Caenorhabditis elegans: one gene and its partner. The protein of the gene in region 1 purifies or fractionates together with the protein of each later gene. This does not show direct contact. Each region holds a gene or a part of one and is shown in the gene's direction. Other genes may lie near its edges.

What was found. Proteins that work in one complex are often made in the same cells at the same time.
Region 2: the proteins of srgp-1 (region 1) and cdc-42 purify together in Caenorhabditis elegans (affinity purification with western blotting, with the first as the bait; one study listed by BioGRID). This does not show direct contact.

Annotation. Positions count from the first base shown.
Region 1 is NC_003282.8:11,567,436-11,574,940, forward strand, and holds the start of srgp-1 (Rho-GAP domain-containing protein), read left to right. Parts: upstream 1-3,064; 5' UTR 3,065-3,107; coding exon 3,108-3,276; intron 3,277-4,231; exon of another isoform or gene 4,232-4,534; coding exon of another isoform or gene 4,535-4,595; intron 4,596-5,092; exon of another isoform or gene 5,093-5,301; intron 5,302-6,246; exon of another isoform or gene 6,247-6,600; intron 6,601-7,179; coding exon 7,180-7,505.
Region 2 is NC_003280.10:7,613,498-7,621,002, forward strand, and holds cdc-42 (Cell division control protein 42 homolog), read left to right. Parts: upstream 1-2,954; 5' UTR 2,955-2,959; coding exon 2,960-3,082; intron 3,083-3,135; coding exon 3,136-3,300; intron 3,301-3,350; coding exon 3,351-3,548; intron 3,549-3,893; coding exon 3,894-3,983; 3' UTR 3,984-4,748; downstream 4,749-7,505. Other genes in the region: R07G3.7 (uncharacterized protein), read right to left, coding at 60-184; Immunoglobulin domain-containing protein oig-4, read left to right, coding at 126-293, 343-492, 538-589, 818-915; R07G3.8 (CYRIA/CYRIB Rac1 binding domain-containing protein), read right to left, coding at 5,017-5,112, 5,606-5,804, 6,163-6,318, 6,369-6,442, 6,488-6,750, 6,799-7,015.

The DNA of each region.
Region 1 (7,505 bases):
GATTCCCTAAAGACTTCATTTCCCAGGCACGATGCTAAAATAATGTAATTGTGTATCAGAAGCGAAGTGAAATCGGTAGAGAACACTTGCGTCAGGTGTCACATATCCTTTTTTGGTCCTTTTCCTTCGTTCTATTCACGTCCATTAGGTATTTATTACTTTATTAGAGCTTGTTATGACGAATGAGCCGCGGATAAACAATGCATGTTCTTTTACTTCTTTTGAGTGTGTGCCGCCCGCATCCGCCGCTCAACACATCCATTATGATGCTAATAAGTTTTATCCTTATTTTGTCGGTCATGAATTATACAAATCCGCATTTATTTTACTTACCCGATTTTTAATGACAATTTTGAGTTATGAACTTGAAAGCATTGAAATTATTTTGATCAATTTGTGGGTTTTATTTATTATTTAAATTTCAAACCCAGTATCGTTATACTGAATACGACTCGTAAAATATCATAGCATTTTTCTAATTTTTAAAATAGGTTTTTTAATCAGAGAATTTTATTGACCTAGTTTCGACATTTCCGGCTGAATTAATTGAGTTTTTGTTTTATAAATTGAAGCACAATTTATCAGTTTTTTCGCAATATTTAGAAATATTCTATTCATTTTTACTGATATATTCAGTAAATCGAGACAACACTGCTCTCAAGTTTCTCGATATTTTACAGTGACACATGGAGTTAAAGTATAAAATACTGTAGGATCAGATGTAATCGCATCATCATGAAATCCGCTTTTGAATCCCTTAGCCTCTTCAGAAGGACACTCGAAACTAATTTGGTTTTGACCCGATTCACATCGTTCTTTTATTCGTTTACTATTACTATTAGAATACCGTCCATCATCCGCTCCCTACATGTTTTCATATTGTCTCCTTCGACATTTATAATGTTTTTATTCATATGTTTTCAGTCTATTCTTTCTTTCTTTCTTTATTTCAACCTGTATTAAAGAGCATCCACGTCATCGTCTCCCCCTTTCTCTGCGTTTCCACTACTTGACCTAGTCTCTCGATTATCGCTGACAATCTCGAATTTCATCACAACATCTTCTCTTCTTCGACGCTCACCAGTTGTGGCTAGTCGATAGGCACCGGATCTCCATGTCCTTCTGCCGGTCACGCTTGACTTCTCAGCCCTCCACCATGTTCATGGATTCAGTGATGGGAATTGGAATAGCTTCATAGATTTTCTTTCCGGACCGGTCTTTTTTGGAGATTCTTCTTCATTCGGGAAGAACATGTGTCTAACCACCTACGTCTCTCTAGTCTTGACCGCTCTATCGCTCCAATCCGTGTTTACAGACCTTGGAAAGGCTCGGCGGAGCGCGCACGCACCTCTAGTCGTCGAATGCGCTTGTTAATTACGGCAAACATACGTTTCACACTTTATTTTTCTCTTTCTCGACGCACATTTCGAATTTCTATATGGTATTGCAAAATGCAAATAAATATATAGACTGTACTGTATTGCCTATCTCGCATTTTTCATGTTCTTTTCGTTTCCCATAAGAGTACATTAGCCGTGTAAGGAGGATTAGTGTAGGGATATTACGACGGCCACTACGAGAAGGTGCCAATTGGAACCTTGTTCTTCCCAAGTGGACGAGACAATGAGACCGATGAACGTCATCATTACATAACATTCTTATTCCTTCTTCATTGGAATACACTTTCTTTAATTTTAAATATTTATGTACTCATGAGACTATATAATCCATTCTGAGCTTATTAATTCTAAAATTTTTATATAAAAAATATTCCCAGTGCGCTATTCATTTCTTTATGTTGTCAGAAAAAAGTTATTCTTGTCTCTTGTGTCCGGCAGTGTCCGGCAGCGCCCTTGTTTGTCGGAAAGAGAAAACTAAAATAAAAGTTTTCCTCTCTTTTTCAAGAAGCCCAAGGCGTTTTTCACTTTCAATCGTTCCTTTCCTGCTTCGTCTTCCAAAAAAAAGCATGAATTTTTTGGAATAGCCGAAAGGCTTTAGAGACCGAGTCAAGATTGATGGCATCCTTTTGCCAGTCAGCTCCAAAACCAATATCCGTTATTTGGGATGTTTTTCTTCATTTCTCATTCATCAGGTATATGTTAGGTGCCGATTGAATGTTGTCGTGGAAGAGGAATATGATGTTGATGGACAATAAAGATAACATTGTCCTGGTCTTCCCCTCTCCTGTTGCCTCATAGTAATACTTTTACATAATCTCGGATGAATAAACATTTGTCCGTTCCATTTATGTTTTCTTCTTCTTCTTCTCGAAAATAGATTCGTTTCTATTGAAAGGGTCAATATTTAATCCATAGTTAATCTTCTATTGAGGAATTACTTTTCTTGAAGAAAAGAAGAGCAACGAATGTCGGTTTACTTCTAACTTGATATTTTTAAGCTTGTTATAAATATCAATTCATATTTATACTTTTTTGTTAAAAAATTATTTCAGGTAACTATGCATCTACGGGAGCCCCTCAAATATGTATGTAAAATATTAATTGTTTGCGCCCTAGTGGCTTTGTTTTCAAAAAAAAAAGACGATGACTTTAGCAAAAACGAAATCAAATACATATGCTTAATTCAGTCCATCTGCTTCACTTTATGTTGATGTCTATTCTCTTTTTGCAATTCCTATTATTTTTCTGTCGTTCCTCTTGTCCTGAAACCGTATTGTTACATGCCGTCCTCGGTGTTTCTTTCCACTGTTTTTCTGAAAGCTACGTCCACCAAACCCTTGTTCACTTTTTTTTTCTATTTTTCGCCAGCCACACGTTGATTTATGTGAAGTAGCAGTAAGGGGGCAAACGCGGGCTTTACCATCTGCCAAGCTAGTTACTTTTTTCGTCCCGCTCCTTGCGCTTTTTGCTTGCCCATCTCTTTTTTTGTGCTTTCTCAAACTAACTCTAGCCACTCAACTCTTATAAATCAATCAAACAAATTCTATAAATTGTCCTCCTTTTCTCCTTGCCTATCCTTTGTTTTTTTCAAACAATCCGTGTTTCTTCCATACTTTCCCCTTCAACCCGATATCATTCATTCAATTTATAATTTTCTTTTCCAGAATTTCACCCAAACCACTTGCTTCACCCGTGCCGACCCCAAACATGACGACGTCTTCGTCTGAAGGTGGGGCCGGTGGCCAGCACGAGGAAACTTCGATGACGTTAACTTCATCAACATCAGCAGACAGAAGATGCTCACAGGACGTGAGAAAACATTCACAGCACAAACAAGAAAAGGCGATTGTACACGATTTGGAGTGTGCTGCTAAAGGTGAGATTTTTTGAAATGTTGGAATCGTAATCTTTTCTTTTGGTAACTTCGAGAATTTTGCAACAAAAAAAATTAAAAAACCTTCCGTATTACCCAGACACAAAACTTTGTGATTTTCGAGCCAAAATACGGTAACGGGTCTCAACACGACAATTTTTTTTTGAAAAATACGAAGAGGAAATTTAATTAATTCTCTAAGTTTTTCTAACAATTTGTTAAAAATTTATGGATTTTATTTGAGTTTGAGAATACAGTAGTTTTTAAAGCACACTTTTTCGAAAATTCAACCAAAATTTATCGTGTCGAGACCGGGAGCCATATTTTTGGCGCAAAATTTCGCGTTTGAGTATCAAAACTGAAAAACTAAAAAATAGTTCGATATATTAAGCTTCAAAGTTTATTAAAAGTATTTGTCATCTTGATCTTCCCTCCAAGTTTACATTGAATTCATTTCGTTGTTTTTTCTTTCCGCTCACACCCTCTCCAACTAGTTTATGTTGATCCCATCACGAATTGGGGGTAAGTAGAGATATAAACATATATTACGTGCCACATTGTGAGGAAAAAACTTGTTCAATGTTCCTAGTGTTGTTCATCATAATCAAACATTTTAATTGCGATTTTAAGTATAGAACACTATCATTTTCATCCATTTTTCGCGCCTTTTCACCCTATTATCTAAACAATCATCAGCGGAAAGAAGTCGGTACACAGTCAGAGAGAGAAAGAACACACGGGCGGTGCGGGAAAAAAGAAAAGAAACATTTTCATTTCGCACCCCATCGCCATCGTCGGGCGACATCAACGCATTGACAATTTATTGCGATTGTGTGTTGGAAACTGCGGGAAGTCACTTGTCACTTGAACCAAAGTAATGAATAGTTATACTAGAGGGGAACTTGCGGAATAATAGAAATGTGATAGGGCATCAGTACGGGGGGAGTAGTGAATAATTCGAAGCCACTGCCGCCGCCAACCTTGTTCTCCCCTTATACCTGTGTCGTAAGTGTGTAAAGTTGTTTTGGAATCATTCTTCTTCTCTATGGAACTTAGAAAAGAAAGACGAAGACGCAGAAGATGAAAGGGCATGCGATGGAAACGGATCATCATCGCCCCACCCGGGAGCCATGAGAAGGCAGTTGTCTCTCTGTCTTCTCTCGAGAGAATCTCTTAGAGAACGAAAGTCATTTAGTCTTCTGTCTCTTCCCATCTTATTTTCCCACACTGGTGTTCGTTTTGATCTAAACGTCATGCGAACATGAGTATTCGACTACCACTATGTGCATCGATTGGTGTCGACGATCAGTATGATTTCCAAGGTTAGTTAGAATTGTAGAAGGCCCTACTTGAATAAAGTATGAATTTTCCAAGATAACAAATATTTTGTTTATATGTTTTGAATTTAACGAAACATGAAATTCACCACTGTAGTTTCTTATGCAAATAATTTCAAAACGACAAAAAAAAATCACTCAGAAAACCATGTGATGTGAAAACGCTTTCAGAATCATGAATTCGATGTTCTATTTTTCTCCAAATCTTATCTCCTTTTCGATCAAATTCGTGTGATAGTGGGATAGGCCCAATTCCTGTGACAATAATGACTCACAATGTTATAAACAGTGGAAGGAATCTCTTGTCAACATTCAATTCCTACTACTTTTTCATTCTTTCCGATACTATTTCATGATCCTTTTTTCCTACTTTCCGCACCTTGACTTCCGTCCTTCTCGTCCTCGACGTTTAATTGTTTCTTCTACCAACCCAAGAATGCTAATACTTTCTTCACTCCCTAGTTTTTGTCTTCATATCGTATCTTTGTTCGATTCGAATCGACCTGGCGTCCCAGACAATAGTAATGCCTCCTTCCGTGCACTTCAGAGCTCTTTCTGCAGCCACGGCCACCCATTTCATAAATCATCCTCAAAATTGATCCGTCAATTTCGTTGTCCCGTCTTCGTTGTCCCGTCCACTCTGGGTTTGCTCATGGACTCATCTTCAGAGGGATCTGTCCATCTATCTATCGGCTCCTTTTCTCTCGTTTTGTTCTCTAAGTATGTGTGTATGTCACACCTGCAATTCGGATTCCATGTGGTCGACACCACATGTTGCTTCTTTATATCATTCTTTCTTAGTTTTTTCTTCCAATTTTCGTTATTTTGAGCAGTTTCACCATAAAACCTTTACCACAAAAATATCGTAGATATAGCCATCAATTCAATGTACCAATTTCTACGGTCTATTAGTCGAGTAGACTAGAATACACGATATGCTTTGTACTGCTTTCTGACTCTCTCACCCACTATCAATGATTGATTTCTTAACATTCAGATTGGGCCGGATTACGTCCTCAATTTCTACAATGTGTAGACTTATAGAATTCAGAGAATAAAATAGTTGTCAATATCAAAGTTTAGTTTCACTAATTTTTTCTTCATCCATCTGTAGAATTACTTGACGTAGATTTTATTCTGCTATATTTTCCGCCAAAATCTCAAAACTCCCACATTGAATTCTTGATTTAAATTCCTACTTCAACTTGGCACATTTCAATGGCTGTGTAATTCAATTCGATGACTATGACTACATAATTAGGTAGGTAGTATCCTCGCCTTTCTCTCATAGATTTCCCACGACTACTGTTGTCTTCGCGCAGGAGGACTACCAAATAGAATGGGAATATGATATTGAATTGCTCTCATCTCAGAGTAGCTTCATACACACAAATGCACACGCACTGGTTGTGTCATTTAGGCTGATGAGCAATATGGTGGCGGCATCACCACTCTCTACACAGAAGACCGCCAAATGTGTCCGTATGTCTCCAAGGCGATCTCCATTATACAAGGAGGCGTTGAGAAGAAAGAAGGAGCGTCTTTCCATCTTTCTAGTGTTCTGAGCACTGGATTCCGATAAGCACTCGTATTCCTTACTTTTAAAAAACCCTCTAATGTTTCATCTCATCTCTAATTCACGCATTTCATTCAAATTCTCGTTTCGTTTTTCGTTTTCATCGTCTCCACCACCATCATAGTGAATTGGAAGAGAATGAAGGAAGACGAAGGAGAAGAACGTCAGTGAGGAGGAGCATGTGCGTGTCCTTCATGCTTTTGCCTCAGTCGCCATTTTTTACAAGTCTTCTCCCGTGTTTTTTGGCCGAGAAACACTGCAAAATGTTATGCATGAGTGTATGTGTGGGAAGAGTGTGTGGCAAAGCACGGCGCGAAAAATTTCATTTCAGTTCTCTTTTTTCCACGTCCATGAGCTCTCTGCTTACTCTCCCGCAACTCATAATTTGATCTGAAGAACACCTTTCCCCTCCCAACGAGGCAAACAAATTTGAACTCGATGGTGCAATGTAACCAGCAAACAGTTGCCGCCATCTTATGAGATTTATTGCTGGGAGGAGAGGCCTATAAGGCATGGGAAATGTCTGTATTGTCTGTTTGTTTTCATGTTTATTTGTACAAATGTTGCAACGTTTTCTATTTTCCAAAGAATCAAATAGGGGTTTTCAACAAAACATTTTTCCGTATTTAAGATAAGTTTATTCCAGCTATAATTTCTCAATCCTCTCGTAAAGTATTCATTTTCTTTACATCCCCTATTCAATGTCTGTTTTGGTGTTTTTATTTCCAATAGCAGTGAGAATCTCATTTCTTTTCTTCCTTTAATACTATAAATGACTTTCGAGAAAAGAAGCGGAAGTATCATTGTTGAGAAGGAGACACCACCAGAAAAAGGCTCTTTGCCAATATTGCGACACATAAAGGGGCTCTTTTTGTTTTTCAATTCTCCCTTTCTCTCACTCAGACAACACAGAAAAATGAATGGGCAATTTAACTGCTGACTCTCCTTTCTTATTGCAACAATTTCCTTGAATACAATCGTTTGTTTTTTCAGAGTTCCGCACGAAAATGAGCGACCAGCTGAAATGTCTCGGAGATCGAACAGATGTACAGATGAGCAGTCTCTCCGAACTTCAGGATTACTTTCGGAAACGAGGCGAAATCGAGTCAGAATATGCGTGTAAACTGGAAAAACTATCCAAAAGTATAGCTCAAAAGCACAAATCAGAAAGAAGTCGACGAGAAGGTTGGCCACAGCACACCTCCAGTACAGTATGGCATACGTTAGTTGAACAGACGAAAGAAGAATACAAAAAGCGTCAATCTCTTGGAGAACTCTATGGAAAACAAATGACTGCCAGTATAGAAACTAGGTGTGAG
Region 2 (7,505 bases), on another chromosome or scaffold:
AACTAATTGGATTTAAATGTTCTTCGATTTATAATTCTTTTAGAGTTTTTTCAACTCACCTTAACAAAATTCCACGAAGTGACGGGTGCAGAAGATAGGCTGCACCAACTGGTAAATCGCGAATCATGAGCTTCCGATTATGGGGTCGATGCATTTTTTTCTTCTGCTTCTTGCTGGAAGCCATCGATTCTAGAGGAGGTCGTCGAGGCGGAAAAGGAAAGGGAAAGAGTAATCTGCAATTTGCACAAGTTGCAGAATTTTCGTTGGTTCAAACGGTTTTGTCAGATAATAGAGCGAGTTTCAGAAATAAAAAAAATGATACAAAATTTGAAAGTCTTTCAGAGTGCTCAAATCATAACTGGCTCTCACTTCAGTCAAACATATCGGCTTGGATACAAACTACTTATCATTTGCAAAGCTCGTGGAGATCCTAGACCGACAATTAAATGGTATAAGGAAGGTGCTGAAATTCAACCAAAAGCTAGCATTCACGTGAGTCATGTACAGTAATCCGTGGGTTAACTGCTTTACTTGCAGTATTACGAAAAGCCAATCGAAAATGATACAATTTGGAGTAAATTAGAAGTTGGTAAGTGAAAATTGTTGTCAATCAAGAATATCTTTAGAACCCTTGCGAAAAATGATACAATATGATAAGAAACTTTTTTGTCACTGTCAGCAAATTTTGGAATTTCGCTCATTTCTCTACAATTTTTTTGCCATATTCAGCGCTTTTTAAAGTTTTTCTTCTTAACTGTGAGCGAATGGCAAACTACAATAACGACAGCTAAATATACGACAGTTGTCATATTTTCAGATCCGGCAACAATGGGCGATCAGGGTGTCTATGCATGTGTGGCTAATAACCCGCACGGAGTAATGGCAAAGAATTTTAAAGCAGAATATACGTATTGAATAAAGATTTTTCACAAATCAAATAATTTTCTCTCACCTAATCTATATCATATAAACTTGCGAAGGAATGCGTTTGAAACCTCCTCCTTCTGTTGCGTGCAGGCGCACGAGCGACAAAACAAACAGTGTTTGGGAGTGAGAGAAGCGGGATGAACAGGTGTGCGGTGGCGGTAAATTCGAGTGAAGGCGGGAATGTGTTCAGAATGAATACAGAAAAAGAGCTGATGACGTTGTAAACGAAATTCATGAACGAAAAGCAGGCACATCTCGCGCGGAAAAGGGAGGAGACGCGGCAGGGAACCGGATTGGGGGACTATTGATCGAACAATAAGGAAGAAGAGAAGTACGCGCCGTCGGTTATCGAAACTCCAAATTTTTCTTCTTTTAATTGGGAAAAGTATTACGAACATGTAATTTCATGGAATTCACACGGTTTACAATGAAGTTATCAAGAGAAAATATGCAATTCTAAAAATTTAGGGCAGATTGAATCGTCGATTGGATTGAAGTGAAAGAAGAGAAATAGAAATTTCGCGAGTGAGATTCAATCGGAGCATTGTTAGAATTCTATCTAGAAATGTAAGACAAAAAATACGAAATAGCATATTGAAATATAAAACCTTAAAATTAAAAAGAAGGCAATTTTAAAATTAATTTTACGAAATACAATTGAGAAAAAATGGAAAACACAACGGATTCAATCGAAGTTAATATTCTAGAGATGGTATTTATAAATTGAGGACAAATATTCTGCACTAGGAGAAACAAGAAAAAAGAAAGAAGTTTCTGGCTGGCAATCGTTCGCACAGGAAAAATAAAAAACTAAAATGGCCGCCCGTCTGTTAGCATGGAACGGGTTACGCTAGTTATAGACTAAGCTTACATACAAAATATGTATGTATAATATCCTCACAGCGTAACAAAGTGAGATATAGTTTAAATTCTAGATGATGACTTTAGAAATCCTATTTGGTGGTTTTACGAAGTTTACAGCGTCATTTCTAGACTGAAACTGACCAGTCTGGGATATCATTTGTCTAATCAAGTACTCTATCTAGATAACTGACCGATCTAATAAGTTTTCACGAGTTACGGGACCTAAATTTGAATCCAATAATTCGGTGACGACTGGCGACCCTATGTTAGATGTAGTGATGTCTCCATTCTCTCAATACTCTCTCGTCTTTTTCTCTGCGTATCTCACCACTAGCGTAGTCTATGAGTGCGAGCGGCCGCGTCGCGGTCGTCTTTAGGCTCGCCGACAAACTGTCCACCATCTTCTTTTTTTCCTTTTTTCGCCGTGTTCAACAAAGCTCATTCACGCTTTTCGTTGTTTTACAGGCTTTTATTGTTTTTTCTAATTATTGATTATTCATTTATAAGAGCAGAATTAATCAATAAACGTAGGTAGACGATCGAAGTATCCTATCAGTTTTTAATTTGATAAATTTTCTCGAAAGGAGCAATCATGTTTTAAATTATTTAAAAAATGGTCCGCTTAAGTTTGTCTGACTGTTTAACAATTATTGAAATCATTTTCGTGACATTTTATTGAACATTGCTTCCAAATTCCCCTAACATAATCCTGACTGAGATGTTCCAGTGTTTCATGTCGAATTATTCCTATTTTTGTACCTTTTCTTAAATATAACTAGTTTCAAATATATGCAAGTTGTTTGGTACGGAAAACCGATTCAAACTTCCGACCAGTTACCGATGAATCATTGCCAAAATTCCTCATCTAAAGAATTATACGCACAAGTTGTTTTGGCCATTTTGCCTTATTTCTTCATCGTTTATTAAGGCGTTTACCGTTTTTTTTTCTTGCTCTTTCTTCGATAATTATTGCTCCCAATGGTAAAGAAACGCTCGTGGCATTTCGAAAGAGACTATTGATTTTCTGCCTGATGTTTCGCAATTCGTTTTCATTCTCTAGTTATCTCTCCTTTTAAAACGTGTGCGTGCACATTTATGTGACTCATCCGTATTTTTCACTATAAAGACGTAATTTTAATACTTTTATTCATTTTTTTTTTCAGGCGAAATGCAGACGATCAAGTGCGTCGTCGTTGGAGATGGAGCTGTCGGTAAAACTTGTCTCCTGATCAGCTATACCACAAACAAGTTTCCTTCTGAGTATGTGCCGACAGTCTTCGACAATTACGCCGTAAGTTTAAGAAAAAAAAATTATTTTATATAAAAATAATTTCCGAATTTCAGGTCACAGTAATGATCGGTGGCGAGCCATACACATTAGGATTGTTTGATACTGCTGGACAGGAAGATTACGATCGATTAAGGCCTCTATCGTATCCACAGACCGACGTGTTTCTTGTTTGCTTCTCCGTGGTTGCTCCAGCTTCATTCGAGAATGTCCGAGAAAAAGTAAGAAATATTGTTCTCGAATTTATTCTATATATCTGAAATTGTTTTAGTGGGTGCCTGAAATTTCGCATCATTGCTCAAAGACCCCATTCTTGTTAGTTGGTACTCAAGTCGATCTCAGGGATGATCCAGGAATGCTCGAGAAACTGGCAAAAAACAAGCAGAAACCAGTGTCAACGGATGTTGGAGAGAAGTTGGCAAAGGAATTGAAAGCAGTGAAATACGTTGAATGCTCAGCGTTGACGCAGGTGAGTCATTCTTTCCAAAATAGTCATTGATAATATTGAAACATTAAAATAAAATATCATCCAATCCACGAAACCTAATCAAATAATAAATTTTTAAATATTAAAACGAGGCTCTTGTGGAAATACGTGACACTTTAAAATATAAATATCACTTTTCAGTTAAATTGTTGCTTTATATTTAGCAACGGTCATGTTTTCGGGAAAAACGAACAACCAGAATTCTGTTTTTATTGTGCAAAAAATTATCTCCTGAAATGCTCTATATTCCGGCTGAAAATACCATAGTTTTCATATTATGTTGATTAAAAACGCTTGTATATTGAAGTTTAAATAGTTTATTTTCAGAAGGGACTGAAAAATGTATTCGACGAAGCCATTCTGGCCGCTCTCGACCCACCACAACAGGAGAAGAAGAAGAAGTGCAATATTCTCTAGGAACGTCTTCCTTGTCTCCATGTTTTCCTCTGTTTTGTGACTGTGTTTTTCTTTCTATGTCCAAATTTTCTTAGCCCCCGACTTCCACTCTTCTCATACTTCTAAATTTCCCTGAAAAATGCCAAACGAGAAGCGGTTGCTGTTATTTTTGACAGCATCATAGAAGATGATTTTCTTCAATTCGTCTCCTGTAACTTATCCAGTAGAATCTCGATGAGCATGATTCCAGAATTTTTTAATTGTTTCGTATAGAATTTCGATAAGCAGGGCAGTTTATAGTTTCTCATCTGTTTTCGAATTTTTATCGAATAATCCCCTCGAAAATTTTTAAAAGTTCATCCAAATTAACTATCATTCTTTTCAATGACACCTCCTCTTTAACATTTTCGTCGTCGTTTTTATTTTCTTTTTTATCCCAAAACGTGTTTATAGTCCGGATACACCGTTACGTAATGCGCCTTCTCCTTTCCCATGGTTCTTTTTATAATTATATAATAGGTGTTGTATAGCACAACCAACTACATCCCGAGTCGCTTGTTTCTTCATTTGCTGCTCAAAAATACCGACCAGTTTGTTTTTCTTCTTTCCTTTTTTTTGTGCTTTTCTGCCTTCACACATCCATTTCCCATTTTAAACTGTTTTCTCATCCACTACGTTTTGTGTCTCCCTCCTCCTTTCTCCAGAACAACTCTGTATTTTAATTTTTCTACATATTGTTGTTATATATTTGCGATCCAAAACAATAAAGGTGTGATATAAAAAATTAAGATGTTTATAAAAGATCTTGAAAAGTATACAAGTGGGTGTTGTAGAAAAAGAAGAACCGGAACCATAAGGCATTGAGAAAAATAATTAATGAGTGGGTGAATTGGAACGAAAAATAATTATTATCACTGACAAAAAGTACTGTTTGACGAGGAGAGGAACATAATCACCGTGTATGAGGAAATGGGCTTCAACTAGAAACGATAAGAGAACATAAAATAGAGGCAAGGATGACTAGAATTAATGAACAAATTGACAAAAAATGAAATTATTTCACTTCAATCAAATGACGAAGAGATTTTGGAGTACTTGAATCATTATAATGTTTTGTTGTGAAACGAAGACCAGCAAGTAGACAATCAGACTGAAAATAAAACAATTAATATGGGTTGCTCAATTTTATTCTAATTTTTATTATGGAAGCGCAGAAAAATGCTCATTTTGAAAGCGCGTTTGCAATCGCGCTTTACGGACAAACTGTTGGGTCTCGTTAGGTATTCGCAGAAAACTAGAAATTCGAACATGTTCAAACATTTTTCGTCTGCTTTAAATGCTTTCCGCTATTCTTTTAAATTAATTTCAGTCCGAAATTGATGAATTAAAATTTATAAACGAAAAAAAAATTCGATTTTCATTGTCACATGCATTTTTAAAATAATAATTTTGAAACAAAAATCATTAAAAACAACTTCAAATTGTATGAATTAATGCTGTCAATTCCTAACGAGACTCATAGTTTGGCGTTGGAGCGAGCTTGCCCCTTCATTTCATTTTTCTGCGTCCCCATAATGTTTGGAAAACGATATAAGCAATTTTCGCTCTACTACACGAAAACTCTAAATATGAAAAACGCTTACCTGTTCAGGAGTGGTATTTAGTTTGATCAACCTGACAACATCTCTCATATCAATTGATGAGTTTGACACGAATGCACCATTTTGATCTACGTGATCGAATAATATTACAAGGCCAGTCATCACTCGACAGCAAAGATGTTTCGATGAATCTGTCAGTCGTGCCAGACATTCGTCATTTGCTAACATGAATCGGCAAACGCTGAAAATTTTAATACAATTTTATTTTACCGTAACTCATCATATCGTAACTCATGACTGATCAGTGAAAAAAGTAGTTGAAAATCACTATTAAAGTGCAAAAATGACCAAGAACTTTCCAAAAAAAGTTAATGTTTCATTTGCAGTGAAAAAGAAGATCAATTCATAATTTTGGAAGTATTTTTGAAAGATTTGTCAGATTTCCAAAACGTTGACTGAAACTTTTCATAACACTAAAAATTATTTAATCACGATATTTAAAAGATTTCCATTTTCTTGCTTGTGTTCCATAAATTGCGGATGGAGTTTACGATATATTCCAAAAGTATGTTTTTCAGTTTAATTTATAGAAAACTCACTTGATAATTGTTACAAAAACATCAGTTGTATTGTTAATTGGCAAGCTTTGATGTGTCTGCATGTACGAATCTACACCATTACAAAGTGCTTTTAACATTGGATTTCCTTCACAAAGAAACATTTGAACTTGTGGTAATTCGGGAACTCCTTGGTCTCTACAAATTTAAAATTATATTAGATTGTTTCAAATAAATTAAATACTTACTCAAAATCCTGATAAACAATATGTTTTGCTCGTCGGTAATAACTGTAATCATTTGTTATCTGGGCGGTTCTCATCTGAAATTAAATTTTTTTCTTTAATTGGAAAAGTGGAATTCATACTTTTACGACATCAAAGTCCAATACAAATCCAATTAATCGTGCAAACTGTTTGGCAATTGATTGTTTATTTGCAAGTTGTTCTTCGAGAGGTAATGGGCCAGATGATAATTCCCATAGAATTATTGGTACGATTTTTTCAATTTTTGCAACATGTTCATAGTAGGAACATGTTCTGGCAACAAATGGTTCAAGCTTTGTCATTAAAACTTTTAAAGCTTGAGTATCACTGTCATTTTTTAATTGATTTCTTTCTGCATAGCAACCTGAAAATTGATGTTACAAGTCTACTAAAAAATAAAAATCTAACGTACCATTTCCATAACTTGATACATCAGCAAGTACTAAATCACAATCATTTAATACTTCTTCAGCCATATTATATATTTCCCTTTCTTCATCTGTTGGTTGTGCATTTTCAAAATCCACAAAAATCTCGACCCATTTTGAATTATCATCTGCTGTTGATCGTATAATTGATCGTATCATCTCAAGACAAGATGCATCAGATTCTCGAATATTCGACGGCATTCTGCGAATCATTAAGCTGAGTATTGAATAGTATTTTAGAAGTGAAAGTTGGAAAATAAAAAGAAAATAAGCGTATAATTACACGATGATCACATGAAGATTATAAGATGCCGGAGAAAAGTAGTTGAAATGGGGGAAAATGGAAAACAAAAAAACTGGGAATCTTGAAAACAAGTACCATCTGGAGTTGAAAGGGAATGAAATCAAAGTGTTCGAAGGAGAATCTTAAAAATGGCAGCTGGACGATAGCCGGACAAAAAAGCTGGGGAAAGATGCACCTGGTACAAATTGCAGCTGTTTCAGAAATTGCTGCGAGTAAAGTAAAAAGGTCAGTGCTCTTGGTGCACTTTAAATCTAATTTTAAAAAAATTGTCTTGGTACATATATAATTATCCAAAATGACAAAAATGAATTTTTAGATTTTTGAATAATAATGAATTTAGGTTAATTTTCGAAAACTTGGACTTTCTGACAATGAGAAGTTTAAAAC